3 linked regions of the Anolis sagrei genome follow. The main gene of each other region encodes a partner of the protein of the gene in region 2 in a complex. Links are inferred from orthologs where the notes say so. Each region holds a gene or a part of one and is shown on either strand. Other genes may lie near its edges. The genes, in order: METTL14, CBLL1 and VIRMA.

The links.
Region 1: CBLL1 (region 2) and METTL14 share a complex: the UniProt entries of both Homo sapiens proteins name them as parts of the WMM complex. The link is inferred for Anolis sagrei from reciprocal best matches to the Homo sapiens genes CBLL1 and METTL14.
Region 3: CBLL1 (region 2) and VIRMA share a complex: the UniProt entries of both Homo sapiens proteins name them as parts of the WMM complex. The link is inferred for Anolis sagrei from reciprocal best matches to the Homo sapiens genes CBLL1 and VIRMA.

The regions. Positions count from the first base shown.
Region 1 is NC_090025.1:35,083,339-35,088,959, reverse strand, and holds the start of METTL14 (N6-adenosine-methyltransferase non-catalytic subunit), read right to left. Parts: upstream 3,143-5,621; 5' UTR 3,079-3,142; coding exon 3,013-3,078; intron 358-3,012; coding exon 269-357; intron 1-268. UniProt on the Homo sapiens protein: The METTL3-METTL14 heterodimer forms a N6-methyltransferase complex that methylates adenosine residues at the N(6) position of some mRNAs and regulates the circadian clock, differentiation of embryonic stem cells and cortical neurogenesis.
Region 2 is NC_090025.1:82,852,221-82,857,841, forward strand, and holds the start of CBLL1 (E3 ubiquitin-protein ligase Hakai), read right to left. Parts: upstream 3,725-5,621; 5' UTR 3,649-3,724; coding exon 3,636-3,648; intron 40-3,635; coding exon 1-39. UniProt on the Homo sapiens protein: E3 ubiquitin-protein ligase that mediates ubiquitination of several tyrosine-phosphorylated Src substrates, including CDH1, CTTN and DOK1. Targets CDH1 for endocytosis and degradation.
Region 3 is NC_090024.1:33,918,050-33,923,670, reverse strand, and holds the start of VIRMA (protein virilizer homolog), read right to left. Parts: upstream 4,175-5,621; 5' UTR 4,125-4,174; coding exon 4,062-4,124; intron 48-4,061; coding exon 1-47. UniProt on the Homo sapiens protein: Associated component of the WMM complex, a complex that mediates N6-methyladenosine (m6A) methylation of RNAs, a modification that plays a role in the efficiency of mRNA splicing and RNA processing.

The sequences.
Region 1 (5,621 bases), about 48 Mb from region 2:
TATGAGAGTGGGCTCAGATAACCCAGCTCAAATCAGTGTGGGATTTTCTGCCTTGATATTTTGGGTTATATGGCTGTGGAAGGGTCCTGAGAAGAGACAAACATTTTATGTTTCAACTCTTTCCTCCCTACAATGGGGGAAAAGAGTTCAACTTTTCCTAAACCAGTCAAAAACAAAATAAATTCAAGCTAATTTGTATTCTTTCCATCTTCTCCCCCTTGAGAATACTACTGTTATGGGAAGTTTCACAACTTATTTCAGTACAAACCTGGAAGTTTCTCTTGTTTCAGCAATCTCTCTCTGCTCATCTTTGCTATTCAACACTGCACCAATACTATCAGCACTTTCGGCCCCCAACTAAGAGAAAAGCAAAAAAAAAAAAACAAAAAAAAAAACAAAGAAATAAATACTATTACTATAGAAACAAATAAGAGAAGCTTTAATACAAACATTACATACCTAAAACCTTTATAATATAAATTTATCATAATTTCTCATTCTCCTTGTGAGAAATCCAATGAAATGTTTCTGCAGATGATTAAACTCCCATCAGTGAAATCCATGTGTGCCTGTTTTCCTAATACTAATACTAATACTAATAATAATAATAATAATACTTTATTTATACCTCACCACCATTTCCCCAAAGGGACTTGGGGAGGCTCACAAAAGCATTCAAAAGTACAAGCATATAAATACAACAAGGTACATAAACAATATAACATAATAACAATGAAGTCCACGTAAGGGAAATTAAGCAACAGGACGAATGTTGTATTTATACCCAAAGCAACTCTGCTGATCTCAGTCAAGGATTCCATACAGCAGCCATAGTAACAAAAATGTGGAGCCCCCCCCCCCCATGGTGCAATGGGTTAAACCCTTGTACTGGCAGGGCTGCTGACCGAAAGGTCAGCGGTTCAGATCCAGGGGGCGGGGTGAGCTACCATCTGTCAGCTCTAGCTTCTCTTGCAGAGACATGAGAGAAGCCTCCCACAGGATGGTAAAATATCCGGGTTTCCCCCTGGGCAACGTCCTTACAGACGGCCAATTCTCTCAAGACCAGAAGTGAGTTGCTGTTTCTCAAGTTGCCACCGACATGAAAAAAGTAATAAAAAATAACTGTATACCAGTGTCAACCATGTTCACTTCAATAATTTCTGTCCTCAAGTGTAAAAGTAGGCCAGCAAATGTTAGGAGAACAGCCCCCATGCTAAAGCAAGGTAATAAGTCTGGCAGGTAACTTAGAATAACATCACTGAATTCAACTAATGCCCAATTCCTGGTATAATGGTATTGCTTACAAAGCTTGTGCTCAAGTATCATAGAATTATAGAGTTGGAAGAGACCTCGTGGGTCATCCAGTCCAATCCCCTGCCAAGAAGCAGGACAATCAGGTTCAAAGCACTCCCAACAGATGGTCATCCAGCCTCTGTTTAAAATCCTCCATAGAAGGAGCCTCCACCATCCGAAGACTTCGTTGGAATTGTACAAATATGAATTAAAGCGTGGAAAATAGAGGCTAATATATTAGTAAGAAGACTGACAGGGAAGTAATTGGTAGAGTCACCTTGGGCAGGGAAGAGATGCGAGATAATGCAAATTTTTAGACTGTGGTGCATTGCTGTATTATGTGTAGTATAGGTAAAGGTAAAGGTCTCCCCTGACAGTAAGTCCAGTTGTGTCCAACGACTGGACCTCCAGATTGGACTACTGTAATGCACTCTACGTGGAGCTGCCCTTGAAAACAGCTCGGAAATTCCAGATGGTCCAACAGGCGGCCAGGTTGATAACTGGGGCTCCTTAAGGGAGCGGTCAACCCTCCTGTTCAAGGTGCTCCACTGGTTGCCATTCATTTTCCGGACCCAATTCAAGGTGCAGGTTCTTACCTACAAAGCCCTGAATGGTTTGGGACCCGCCTACCTGCGTGACCACATCTCTGTATACGAACCCACACGATCTCTCCGTTCATCTGGAGAGGCCCTGCTTGGTGGGGATGAGAGAGAGGGCCTTCTCGGTGGTGGCCCCTCAACTCTGGAACTCACTTCGTAACGACATTAGGCAGGCCCCAACTCTGGCAGTCTTTAGGTGAAGCTTGAAGACGTGGCTGTTCAGTGTGCCTTCCCAGAATAATGATCCCATAGCACTTTGTCCTCCACATTTTTAGGTCTGCTTGTATGTTTTCCACAAACGCCCCATCACTTTTTCGCCCAAGTTCCAGCATTATTTTCAATTTTAATTTTACATTTGGCCTTCCCATAGTTTTTAATCGTGTGGTCTTATTGTTAATGTTGCATTATTGTATTGTCCATGTTTTATTTTAATTGCTTGTACTGTTGTTATTATTGCTTGTATTGTTGTATTTGGGCTCGGCCTCATGTAAGCCGCACTGAGTCCCTTGGGAGATGGTAGCGAGGTACAAATAAAGTGTTATTATTATTATTATTAACTCTGGGATGTGGTGCTCATCTCCATTTCTAAGCTGAAGAGCCGGCGTTGTCCGTAGACACCTGCAAGGTCATGTGGCCACCATGACTTGCATGGAGTGCCGTTATGTGAAGTATATAATATGAAAAAATACTTTAAAAATTAACAAAAAAGGGAAAAATATAATAAAATGGGAGGCATTTCTTGAAAACCTGGGTTTGCCATGGCCTTCTGAGACTGAGGGCCTTTCCACACAGACATATAACCCAGAATATCAAGGCAGAAAACCCCACAACTGGGTTATCTGAGTCCACACTGCCATATATCCCAGTTCAAAGAAGACAATGTGGGATTTTACTCAGCTGTGTGGAAGGGGCCTGAGAGTGTGAGACTTGACAGAACTGAAACACCCTTTGGCCTTCAGTCTCCATGGCAACGCAGAGCCTCTCCCGCGTTCTACGTCACAGGCGCTGACCAGTGGGAAGGGAGGCGATCCATCCGTCAGCCTCCCCCTCCGAGGCCAGGGCGCATGCGCGGAGGCCCAAACCTTGAAGGACGGAGTCCAACCCGGTGTTCTCCCGTTACCTGCTGAGCCAGGAGCTGCCGGCGCAATTTCTGCCTCTCCCGGATCTCCTGCAGCCGGCTATTCATCCTCAACCGACGGCCGCGCGGGTTCAGAAATGGGCGCCTCACGGACGCACAGCTGAGACGTCACTTCCTCTCTGTCTTTGGCTGTGAACATAGACGTACGAAAAACAGCACACCGTCATGTTAATGTATGCAAAGAGTTCTTCTGGGTTGCTATATGTTTTTCGGTTTGTATGGCCCTGTTCCAGAAGCATTCTCTCCCGACGTTTCGCCCACATCTATGGCAAGCATCTTCAGAGGTTGTGAGGTCTGTTGGAAACTAGGCAAGTGGGGTTTCTATATATCTGTGGAATGCCCAGGGTGGGAGAAAGAGCTCTTGTCTCTTCACCCAACCATCACCCAAGTAAAAAAAAAAAAGCAGAGAGGAAACAACCAGGCACAGCTTAACACGTCTCAGCAGGAGATTTTCCCTGGCTCAGGCAGGCCTTCAAATGCTAATGAAGGTTGAAACATTCACACCTAGCTCTAGCAAGGAAGAGCTCTTTGCCCCACCCCAGCCATTCCACAGATATATAAACCCATTGTCCTATTTCCAACAGACCTCACACCTCTGAGGATGCTTATTTATTTATTTATTTATTTGCTGCGCTTATATACCGCAATTCTCAGCCCAAGGGCGACTCATTTTATTTGAGAACACAGAAATGCTGGACCACTCTCACAACCACCATGTCAATCTACACAGAGAAGCAATTGAAATACACAAGCATGTGGACAATTTCAACAGAAAGGAAGAGACCATGAAAATGAACAAAATCTGGCTACCAGTATTTAAAAAAAACTCTAAAATTACAACAGCAAAACAGCAGAGAGGAAATAAACAAGGACATCTAACCACCTCTCAACAAAAGATTGCTCCAGGCACTGTCAGGCAATCAAACGCTAATCAAGGTGGTCAGTTGAAACATTCACACCTGGCTCCAGCAGACAAGAGTCCTTTGTCCCACCCTGGTCATTCCGCAGATATATAAACCCTTTTTCCTAGTTCCAACAGACCTCACTACCTCTGAGGATGCTTGCCATAGATGCAGGCGAAACATCAGGAGAGAATGCCTCTAGACCATGGCCATATAGCTCAAAAAACCCAACTCTTTTATCTGTTGGAGGCAAGTGTGAATGTTACAATTGGCCACCTTGATTAGCATTTAATGGCCTTGCAGCTTCAAAGCCTGGCTGCTTCCTGTCTGGGGGAATCCTTTAGCAGGAAGTATTATCTGGCCCTGATTAATTTTCTCTGGATTCTCCCTGCCTGCTTTTTTAGTGTTCCTCTTTATTTCCTAATTTTAGAGGTTTTTAATACTGGTAGCCAGATTTTGTTGATTTTCATGGTTTCCTCCTTTCTGTTGAAATTGTCCACATGCTTGTGGATTTCAATGGCTTCTCTGTATTGTCAGAAATGCTGACCTATGTATTGTCGAAGGCTTTCATGGCCGGAATCACTGGGTTGTTGTAGGTTTTTTTGGGCTATATGGCCATGTTCTAGACTAGAGGCATTCTCTCCTGACGTTTCGCCTGCATCTATGGCAAGCATCCTCAGAGGTAGTGACCTCACTACCTCTGAGGATGCTTGCCATAGATCAGTGGTTCTCAACCTTCGGGTCCCCAGGTGTTTTGGCCTACAAGTCCCAGAAATCCCAGCCAGTTTACCAGCTGTTAAGATTTCTGGGAGTTGAAGGCCAAAATATTTGGGGACCCACAGGTTGAGAACCACTGCCATAGATGCAGGTGAAACGTCAGGAGAGAATGCCTTTAGAACATAGCCATATAGCCCAAAAAAAAAAAAAACCCTACAACAACCCAATACTGACCTACTCTAACAACCACCTTGCCAAACTACACAGAAATCCCCAAGCATGTGGACAGTTTCAACAGAAAGGAGGAAATAATAAAAATGCACAAAATTTGGCTACCAGAATTTAAAAGCTCCAGAAATCAGGACACTAAATACAGAAAAACACAGAGAAAACAGGGAAATTCCAGGCAGGAAACAATCAGGGCCAGCTAACAGCTTCCAACAAAAGATTTCCCCAAGCAGGAAGTAGCCAAGCTTTGAAGGAGCAAGGCTATTCAATGCTAATCAAGCTGGCCAATTGCAACATTCACATTTGCCTTCAACCCTGGATATCAATCTCACTTGCCTAATTTACAACAGACCACAACCTCTGAGGATGCCTGCCATAGATGTGGGCAAAACATCAGGAGAAAATGCTTCTGGAGCATAGGCATACAGCCCAGAAAACTCACAGGAACCCAGTGATTCTGGCCATGAAAGCCTTTGACAACACAGTTCTTGTACTTTGGACAGAAAGAAAGGTATTTGTAGCATAAGCAGTAATCCTATAGTGTAGATCGGGCCTGGGCAAACTTGGGCACTTCAGGTGTTTTGGACTTCAACTTACACAATTCCTAACAGCCTACTCACTGTTAGGAATAGTGGAAGTCCAAATCACCTGGAGGGTCCAAGTTTGCCCATGTCTGAGTTCGAGTACTTAATGGGATTTTAAAAAAGACTGAGTGAAGTTTCAATACTCTCCAAAGAAACACTT
Region 2 (5,621 bases):
CCAATGTCCCAGTACTATTTGTACCTTGCAAATCATTGTCTGTGTAAAAATGTAAACAGAAATAGTTCAATTTTTTTCCTTTTGCACCACACACAGCATTTGATTCCATACAAAATTCTAAACTATTTATTAATTCCATAAGGCATTACTCATATTAGACCTATATATTTACAAAGAAGCACAAAAGATTTCTAAAAAAAAATCTGATTAACAAAGAATCATACGTACACTATTAAGCCACTTTGGGTCCTCTTCAGGGGAGAGTCTGAAACTGCATTAGATGGCAATGTAGATGGGGCCTAAGAGGGTTGCATAAGCCACCAGGGGGAGGCCTTGGATGGCACCATCCCAACCACACCACTGCCATCAAACTCAAATGCAAATTAGGTGTCTTTATTTGAATAGTATTTCTAGATACTTAATACAGTATACTTTTTTAAAAAATGAAATGGTGTATAGTAATTTTACAAGAGCTTGCATACCTTACACCAACATATATCCACCACAAACCTCAACAAAGTGACTCATACGAAGTTCCTATGTTAATAGGAATTTTTCCATACACATCATACACAGACTCTGAATGTCACCCGTTTGTGGGCCTTTAATATCAATATGCAAATTACACAGCCTAATCACATACATTTGTCTCACGTTAACTGACACACTTTGGACAGTTTCAGGCATGTACCTTATAAATTTAATATGAATCAAGCTTTTGTTTGTGTTCTAACAAATAAGCACACTTTGAGTTCATCTACACTGTGGAATTATTGCAGTTTGCCACCACTTTAATTGCCATCGCTGGATGCTAAGGAATCCTGGGACTTATAGTCTGGAGAGGCACAGCACTTACTGACACAAAAGGCTAAATATCTTGTAAAATTCCAGCTCCAATGATTCCATCACATTGAGTCATGGCGGTTAAAGTGGTGTCAAACTGTATTCAATCTACACTGTAGATGCTGTCAGACCTTTATTTTGTGTACATTCTTAAAATGGGTTTGTCTCCAATTATGGTAGAATACTTGTCTCACAGGAAATTCCCAGACGCAAGTGTTGCTACTAAACCACTTAGTCAACAGAAACCATAAATGTATTCTAGTGAAGGAAGCTATTTCAATTAAATATTTTAATACAGAGACTCATGTGTACAGGCAGTCCCCTGGTTGCTAACGTTCAATTTACAAACAACTCATAGTTAAGAGAACAGGAAGTGAAAAAAACCTTCCCCTCAGAAGGGAAATTTACTTCTAAAAGAATTATGAAGGGGAAAGGTATCTCAACTGAAACTATCATCAATCCTTGTTTTCACCACAAGACAAATTTGTGCAACTAGGTGGCATTCATTTACTGCTGCCAAATTGTTGTGACCCCCAACATTGAACTTTTAATTCCTGCTATGGTCCAGCTTGAAGCAGTGTTTTGAGTGTCTGGAGATCAAGGATCAAATCCCCATTCAGCCTGGAAACTCACTGGTGAATTTGGTGAATTCCCACTCTCTCAGCCTGAGGAAGGCAATGGCACACCTCCTCTTAGCTTGCCAAGAAAACCAGGTGATAGGGTTAACTCAGGGTGGAAACGAACTGAAGGCACACAACAACAATCAATCATCTCTCGTACTGGTAAGATTAGACACAAAGATCTTGCAGCACCTTAAGAGACTGAAAGAAAGATGTCAGAAGCATAAGCTTTTGTAGACTTCAGTTTATAAATGTTTATGCTACCAACTTTTTTTCTCAGTTAATCTCAAAGGTGCTACTAGATCCCTTTGAATACTGATCCATGAATAAACTTTTGCAAACTAAGGGTGCTGTTGTAAAACCTGAGATTTGTAGTTTGGTTAGGCACCAGCACCTTTTGACAGAGAAGGCGAAAGACCTTGGACCGTACCACATTAGAGGACCTCCTTTCAGCGACACCAGACACATTCAAATACTTAACTGCTTGTAGTATTTTATGCATTATAACTGTATTCCCAATTTGCTTCTGACACGATAAATAAAGGGACTTGTTGTATGCTGAGGCACTAGCACTCATAGAATCATAAGTTATAGTGTATAACTTTGTAAGTACTTAAATGTGTTGTAACTTATGATATTTAATGATACAGATGTTCTATATGTATGCTACTGGAGTAAAACATTGATTTGTACATTAATTTGAGTCCACCAGAGGAAGGCCTGAGGTAGGCCGAAACCGATCGTGGACGGCTGATCCACAAGCTACTTATAAGAAGATATGACTGTACTAAAAATCTGCACCATGTTGTTTGTTGTCGCTGTGAGGTTAACAGTGCAGCATGTTTATATACTGTTGTTGAATTATATTATTGTTTATGTTATACAAGTGGTATTTTTGTTGTATGCATTCAATCTTTCCTTTTCCCCATCAGCGGCCACCTCGATCCACCCAGGAAAATCTCCTATACATACCGGCTCCTAGGGAGGCACATTTGGAAGCTACAAGGCGTAGAGCTTTTTCGATCAATGCTCCAATTCTGTGGAACTCATTGCCTCCATATATTAGAGCAATGTCGGAGTTGCAACCTTTTGCAAAGGCGCTCAATACTTGGCTGTTTGGCTGTGCATTTAAGTAACCGGATCAAATTTTGCCATAGTCACTGCTGAATGTTTTTATGTTGAATGTTTTTATGTTGAATGTTTTTATATTGAATGTTTTTATATTGAATGTTTTATATTGTGTATAAACTGTTTTAAATTGTAAGTCGATCGGAGCACCTTGGTGGAGAGCGACTAATTAAGAAATAAAGTGATGATGATGATGATGATTCAGGAACCCATTTATATTATAGTATTCTGCATCTCATGGTGCCAGAGCACAGTCTGTTCAGCACCTTCCAAGTCGCCCAGTGTTCTGTGTGCCCAGAAGGGAGTCACCCACGGATTGAGGTGCTAGGTTTGAGCCTGCCACTTTTGGACTCTCGCTTGCTGACATGAGACATGAGAGACATGACATGGGACATGAGAGAAGCCTCCTCGCAGGATTGCAAGACATCCGGGCGTCCCCTGAGCAACGTCTTCGTAGACTTCTCTTGCCACAGATGCAACCAGAAGCGACTTGCAGCATGCAAGCAAGCAAATAAAAAATGAAATACAACTGTTCGGTTTGCTCCTGACACAATATTTTTTTTTCTGCCTAAGTGGCAGAGAAGGCGAAATGCCTGGTAAAACTTAGAACTCCCAGGGCAGAAGAGGGAGGCAAAAAGAAGCAGTGGGGTAAGGAAAGGCAGACACGGCAAGGAGGAAGAGGCCTAGCGCGGACTTTGCTATTCTCTGAAGGCCTCGTCCCGCTCAAATTGAGCCTCTTCTCCTTATCATGGGAAAACCCAAATCCCCTCAAAGCGCGCTAGGCCTCAAGTCACGAAGGCCCAAGTGCGCCTGCGCAGCCTCCTTCACACCTCCCCCCCCCCCCCCCCCCCGCCGGCCGCTCTTTTCAAACAAGGCCTCAACGCTTCTAAAGGCCTCGCCGCTCCCTCAGGCCTCCCTCCCGCTCAAATTGGGCGGCTTGTGGACGACGAGAGAGGGAGAGAGGCTGGGGCGAAAGCGGGGGAATGCGTCGGGTCTTCCGAAAAAGGGGCCTTCCCTCCTTTCCAACGCCCGCCAAGCGCTCACCATTGTGGTCCATGATTCGAGGCAGGGCACTCTGGACGGGAAGTGTCCTGGCGCGAGCGGGTGGGCGGGGCCGGAAAGAGCGCGCGAGGGGCGCGAACATAGAGACAGGCAAAAATATAGATTCCCAGCGGCAGAGGACACTAGCGGGTTTCTTCAGGCAGTTTTTTTTTCTCCTCTGGGAAGAAATTGAACTCTGGCTATGGATTTTAGTAAGGAGTGAAACTTCCAGGTTGTGGTGCACGAAGAATGACTTGTTTTAAAGCAGCATTTCTCAACCTGGGAGGTGGTGTCAGAGGGGTAAGCAAAGGCCATCAGAAAACACAGTTTTTTCTGTTGGTCATGGGGGTTCTGTGTGGGAAGTTTGTCCCAATTCCATCAATTCAGAATGCTCTTTGATTGTAGATGAACTATAAATCCCAGCAACTACAACTCCCAAATGTCAAGGTCTGTTTTCTCCAAAATCCACCAATGTTCATATTTGGGCATATTGAGTATTCGTGCCAAGTTTGGTCCAGATCCATCTGTTTGAGTCCACAGTGCTCTCTGGATGTAAGTATACTACAACTCCAAAACTCAAGGTCAGTGCCCACCAAACCCTTCTAGCATTTTCTGTTGGTCATGAGAGTGCTGGTGGAATTCAGAATGCTCTTTGATTGAAGTGAACTATAAATCCCAGCAACTACAACTCCTAAATTTATTATTTATTTTTATTTATTGTTCTTAAACCCTGCTACCATCTCCCGCAGGACTCGGTGTGGCTTACAAGAGGCCAAGCCCAATAACACCATAAAACAACAACAGCAAAACAATAAATAACTCAAAAAAGCAAAACGACACATTTTAAAAACATGAGGCAGACAAATGACAAAATCACACACACCCCAGCCCCACAAGTATTCAAATTTTGGTGTATTTGTGCCAAATTACATCTTGCATATTAGATATTTACATTAAGGTTCATAACAGTAGCAAAATTACAGTTCTGAAGTAGCAACAAAAATAATTTTATGGTTGGGGGTCACCACAACCTGAAGAACTGTACTAAGGGGTCGCGCCATTAGAAAGGTTGAGAAACACTGTTTTAAAGGGAAAGGCAGTAAGGAAAGACGTGTATTTTTTTTCCTTCCTATGGTGCAAGATTGGGAAAGGCATACGGCCAGAGGCGGCCCTAGGTAATTTTCAACAGTAAGCAAACAGTATTTTGGTGCCCCCCCCCCCCCAACCAATCATTGATATATATTTTCTGTTTGTCGTGGGAGTTCTGTGTGCCATATTTGGTTCAATTCCATTATTGGTGGAGTTCAGAATGCTCTTTGATTGTAGGTGAACTATACATCCCAGTAACTACACTTGCTGCACTTGGGTTCGTAGACAGAGATGCGGTCGCGCAGAGACATCACACTGGCAACCAAGATCCGCGTAGTTAAAGCAATGGTATTCCCCATAATAACATATGGATGTGAGAACTGGACCATAGGGAAGGCGGGGCGAAGGAAGATAGATGCTTTTGAACTGTCGTGTTTGAGGAAATTTCTGAGAGTGCCTCGGACCGGGAGAAGATCCAACCTATCCATACTTCAGGAAATAAAGCCCGACTGCTCACTGGAGGGAAGGATATTAGAGGCCAAGATGAAGTATTTAGCCACATAATAAGAAGACAGGAAAGCTTAGAGAAGACAATGATGCTGGAGAAAATGGAAAGAAAAAGGAAGAGGGGCTGACCAAGGGCAAGATGGATGGATGGTATCCTTGAAGTGACTGGCTTGACCTTGAAGGAGCTGGGGGTGGTGACGGCTGTCAGGGAGCTCTGGTGTAGGCTGGTCCATGAGGTCACGAAGAGTCAGAAGCAACTGAACGAATAAACAACACGGTGCATCTGGTTTATTCTTATTTATCTCTTTTTTAAATTTATCAAGCCTTTAATTATATATATATAGTTCAGATGTTTGAAGATTTTTTAAAGTAAAAACTACTTTATATTATTTG
Region 3 (5,621 bases), on a different chromosome or scaffold from region 2:
ATGTAAACTACGCATGGAAAGCGAACCACGTCTACATGAGTACTTTGCTGGGGGGAAAATTAATCAAGGTTGAACAATCTCTTCATTTTGTTTCATAAGTACTCTGAAGTTTCCCTAAAGAAAAATGTATGGCAAAGAGTCCAGACATTTTTCAAAAGGCAAACAAAGGTATGATAGTTTTATCCATTCATTTTGTATGACATGTGTTGTTCACATTTTGTAATAATTTTGCCATTTGTAATAAGAAAGGTAATAAAAGAAAATGACAGCTACTGAGCCCTGTTTTATCATTCAGTAAACAAAAGCTGTCCCAATAAATCTACTGTATTTTACAACTGTACTTGTTTGGTCACCTTACACAATGTAATGCATTTGGGGGGGGGGAGGCCTATGCCACTTCGTTGTTGAAAATAACCCATTTCTTTGCTCAAAAGTGAGCAGTGAATACACATTCACCCAATCCTTTTTTGCAAGGAACAAGCCAATATACTGTTGTCATGAAGCAGGGATGGAAGGGCCTAGTTTATAGTAATACGTTTAGTGAACAGATCGCTGATAGCATAATGCAAGTTTAAAATTTGCTGAGTATGCAATTGATAACAGTCAGAAGACATGCTACATACTACAGCATTCAGCCTGGTTATACTTGCACAATTTAATATACTGAAATCCAAATAAATACTCATAACATGAATAATCTGGCATGTTTACCTTTCAACAATAAACGAAACACATTTAACGGAACAACTCTATTTGTAAACAATGTATTTGATGTTCATGAGGATATGGGCACCTACATTCTAGAAATTAATTCTCCCATGTATGCATTTTGCTGTGAGAAGAGTTGTTTAAGTGGCTACACACTTAAAACCCTAATGATCCCCAAAGCATCTTAAGTCATTTTATTGTTGCCCCTACCTCAACACTGGACCAAGCAGAAGATTTCCATTAGTTCCATTGTTAAAGCAAAGAGCTGCAACATCACTTAAGAGTTCCTTTTATAATTCTGCAACACTTGCCTACTACTGGAACCTCAAATTACAATTCTGTATAAAATTGCCATTCCTGTACACGCATACACTGCTTGCACAGTCAAAGTGCACAGTTTGTGGCACTTCTTTTCTACTGAGAATCCTTAATCTTGTTAAGAATGCATATTTGAGGGTGGGATCAGAACACTGTGCTATTCTGTACATTGGGCTACGTCTGTACCAAGTTTGGAACCTCCAATTGGTTCAATCAAAGTAGGCGGATGAGTTTTTTGTTATTTGTTCAGTCGCTTCCGACTCATTGTGACCTCATGGATCAGCCCACGCCAGAGCTCCCTGTCGGCCGTCACCACCCCCTGCTTCTTCAGAGTCAAGCCAGTCATTTCAAGGATACCATACATCCATCTTGCCCTTGGTCGGCCCCTCTTTCTTTTTCCTTCCATTTTCCCCAGCATAATTTTCTTCTCTAAGCTTTCCTGTCTTCTCATTATGTGGCCAAAGTACTTCATCTTGGCCTCTACTATCCTTCCCTCCAATGAGCAGTCGGGCTTTATTTCCTTAAAAAGCCAGGGGAGCTTTTGCACAGTTAAAGCTTGTGCGCCAGCTGCGCCTGTACCTTGAGAAGTCTGATCTGGCAACAGTAGTCCATGTTCTTGTTACATCCTGAATAGATTACTGCAACACACTCTACATGGGGTTGCCTTTGAAAAATTTTCGGAAACTTCAACTAGGCCAACGGGCTGCAGCCAGATTACTAACTGGAGTGACATACAGGGAGCACACCACCCCCTTGTTGTGTCAGCTCCACTGGCTGCCAATCCACTTCCGAACTCAATTCAAAGTAGCTGGTTTTGACCTATAAAGCTCTATACGATTCTGGCCCAGCTTACTTGTCCGAACGCATCTCCCTCTACGTCCCGCCTTGCAGTTTAAGATCATCTGAGGAGACTTGCTCTCGCTCCCGCCAGCATCACAAATACATCTGGCGGGGACGAGAGATAGGGTCTTCTCGGCTATAGCCCCCCACCTGTGGAACTCGCTTCCCAACAAGGTAAGATCCGCTTCATCCCTCTTGTCTTTTAGGAAGAAATTGAAGTCGTGGTTCTGGGACCAGGCTTTTGGACAGCAGGCATAAATAGGATATGGAATTTGACTGGAATGATGATATGATGGTTAATACTGTTTTTATTGTTTTAATTAATGTTCTACTTATTGTTTTAATTGTTGTTATATTTAATGGCATCAAATTGTGCCAAATGTAAGCCCTCCTGAGTCCCCCCTTCAGGGATTGAGAAGGACGGGGTAGAAATACTGGAAATAAATCTATATAAATAAAAATGTAATGTTCGTTTGTGGGATTAACAGCACTCAAAAACCACTGGACAAATTGACACCAAATTTGGACACAATACACCTAACAACCCATTGTATGTCCTTCACTCATAAAACACTAAAAACACAGCAGAAGGGACTTAAAAAGCCCCAAAAAGCTAAATGATGAAAAGCTAAATGACAATATAGAAAAAAGGGAAGAAAAGGGAGGGAAGGGAAGAAAAAAGAAAGAAAGGAAAGGAAAGGAAAAGAAAGAGGGAGGGAGGGAAAGAAAGAAAGAAAGGGAGAAGGAAGCATGGAAGCAAAGAGAGAACGAAGGAAAAATAGAGGTAGAGAAGGAAGAAAGGGGAGAAAGTGGGAGGAAAAGAAAAAGGGGGAAGGAAGGTTAGAGAAGGAAGGAAGGAGAGAAGGAAAGAAAAAAGGGAAAGAAGGAAGGAAAGAGGGAGCAAAGGAAGGGGGGAAGATGTACAGAAAGAGGAAGGGAAGGAAAAAAAGGGAAGAGAGAAGGAAGAAAACAGACAGCAGAAGAGAAAGAAAAAGGGGAAAGGAAGGAAAGAGATAGAGAAGGAAGGAAGAAGAGAAGGAAAGATGGGAAGGAAGGAAGGAAGGAAAGAGGGAGTGAAGGAAGGAGGGAAAGAAGGAGAGAAAGAGGGATGGTTGGCCACAGCAAAGCGTGGCGGGTACAGCTAGTAAATAAATAAAGTATGGACTGCTTGGATCTTCTCGCGGTCCAAGGCAGACGAGATACAGGGAGCATATTCCACTGTCAGGAAATGTAGGTGGAATCATAGAGTTGGAAGAGACCTCATGGGCCATCCAGTCCAACCCCCTGCCAAGAAGCAGGAATATTGCATTCAAATCACCCCTGACAGATGACCATCCAGCCTCTGTTTAAAAGCTTCCAAAGAAGGAGCCTCCACCACACTCCGGGGCAGAGAGTTCCACTGCTGAACGGCTCTCACAGTCAGGAAGTTCTTCCTAATGTTCAGATGGAATCTCCTCTCTTGTAGTTTGAAGCCATTGTTCTGCATCCTAGTCTCCAAGGAAGCAGAAAACAAGCTTTCCCCCTCCTCCCTGTGGCTTCCTCTCACATATTTATACATGGCTATCATATCTCCTCTCAGCCTTCTCTTCTTCAGGCTAAACATGCCCAGCTCCTTAAGCCGCTCCTCATAGGGCTTGTTCTCCATACCTTTTATCATTTTAGTCGCTCTCCTCTGGACACATTCCAGCTTGTGCTTGGAATGTGCATATGGGATATATTGAGTATGGTGATCAGATCATGATATGAATAAACATAACAGTTTAAATAATGCACCAGTAAGGCCTTTTCGCGAACCACCATGAGAATTTCGGGGGGGCTGAAGCTCCTCAAGCCCCCCCCCCCCCGGCTACATGCCTGGCCTGAGGCTGTGGGAGTTGGAGGTCCAAAACACCTGGAAGGCCCAAGTTTGCTCCTGCCTGGTAGAGATGCATCCTGAAATAGTAATCTCGACTCAGAGCTAAGGCTAAGAATGCTGCAAATAAATCCCGCCTGTACACAAATATTGAAGAGGAGGAGACAAGAGGGAGGGAAACTCTGCTCGTCTTTGAAGGAGCGAGGCAGAAGGATGGGCGCTGGCCCCGCCCCGAGAGGCGCAGGAAGAGGACCCCCGGCAGGGGGAGCCCACACTGACAGGGCCCCGCCGCCCTCCCCTTCCTCCCAAAGAGAGGAGAGATGCCTCCGCGACCCCCCGTTACCTCCGTGCTCTGGTGCTTGAAAGTGTCTAAAAATAGAAGCTCCGTTGTTGTGTCCGCCGCCATCTTGCGTCGGCGGACGCGCCGAGGAGACAAGCGCTTCCGGGGCCAGGGAAAGGTCCGCGCATGCTCGCCATCGCTGCTTCAACGCAGGGCTGCGCATGCGTGACATCTCTGCGTCCCTTCTGCGGTGGCGAAGGGGCTTTGCACTCTCTGTATTTATGTCTGAGATGCGCCAAGCGAAGGGAGGCGATTAAATGGCTCGGGGAGTTGTTATCCAGCCATTCTTAACAGGAACAAGTAATATATATTTATATTTATCGTGTCATCAGCAACCATACCATTATATTACAATTCTAACAGAGCAAAACAAACACACAGATTAAAAAGAAGAAGAAAAACACAGATTTTGCAAACTTGGTAGCTGGTTAAATGTCCTTTGACCAGTATCTGGCCCCTTGGAGTGCCTCTGGTGTTGCCGCAAGGAGGTCCTCCATTGTGCATGTGGCAGGGTTCAGGTTGCATTGCAGCAGGTGGTCAGTGGTTTGCTCTTCTCAACACTCACGTCGTGGATTTCACTTTGTAGCCCCATTTCTTAAGATTGGCTCTGCATCTCGTGGTGCCAGAGCGCAGTCTGTTCCAAGTCGCCCAGTCTTCTGTGTGCCCAGGAAGGAGTCTCTCATTTGGTATCAGCCATTGGTTGAGGTGCTGGGTTTCAGCCTGCCACTTTTGGACTCTCGCTTCCTGAGGTGTTCCAGCGAGTGTCTCTGTAGATCTTAGAAAACTATGTCTAGATTTAAGTCATTGGCGTGCTGGCTGATACCCAAACGGGATGAGCTGGAGATGTCTCTGCCTTGGTCCTTTCACTATTGGCTGCTACTTCCCGGCGGATGTCAGGTGGTGCAATACCGGCTAAGCAGTGTAATTTCTCCAGTGGTGTAGGGCGCAGACACCCCGTGATAATGCGGCATGTCTCATTAAGAGCCACATTCACTGTTTTAGTGTGGTGAGATGTGTTCCACACTGGGCATGCATACTCAGCAGCAGAGTAGCATAGCACAAGGGCAGATGTCTTCACTGTGTCTGGTTGTGATCCTCAGGTTGTGCCAGTCAGCTTTCGTATGATGTTGTTTCTAGCGCCCACTTTTTGCTTGATGTTCAGGCAGTGTTTCTTGTAGGTAAGAGCACAGTCCAAAGTGACTCCCAGGTATTTGGGTGTGTTGCAATGCTCCAGTAATAACAAGTAATAACAACCACGAAAGCAACTATATAACATGTAATATTGATAATATTATGTGATACAATATAATACTAATAATAATAATACGATATTATAATTATATATTTTACATGTAATATTACATTTCAGTATGTATGTGTGTTGATATAGATACATACATAAATACACACAACAAACACATATTGGAATGCATATTCCTATCCTCAAGATGTATTCCAGTATATATGCATGTATGTATCTGTAATGCAGTATGTATGTTTTTGTCTAGAGATTTACATACACATATACATTGGCCATCATTTATTATTATTTATTTATTTAAC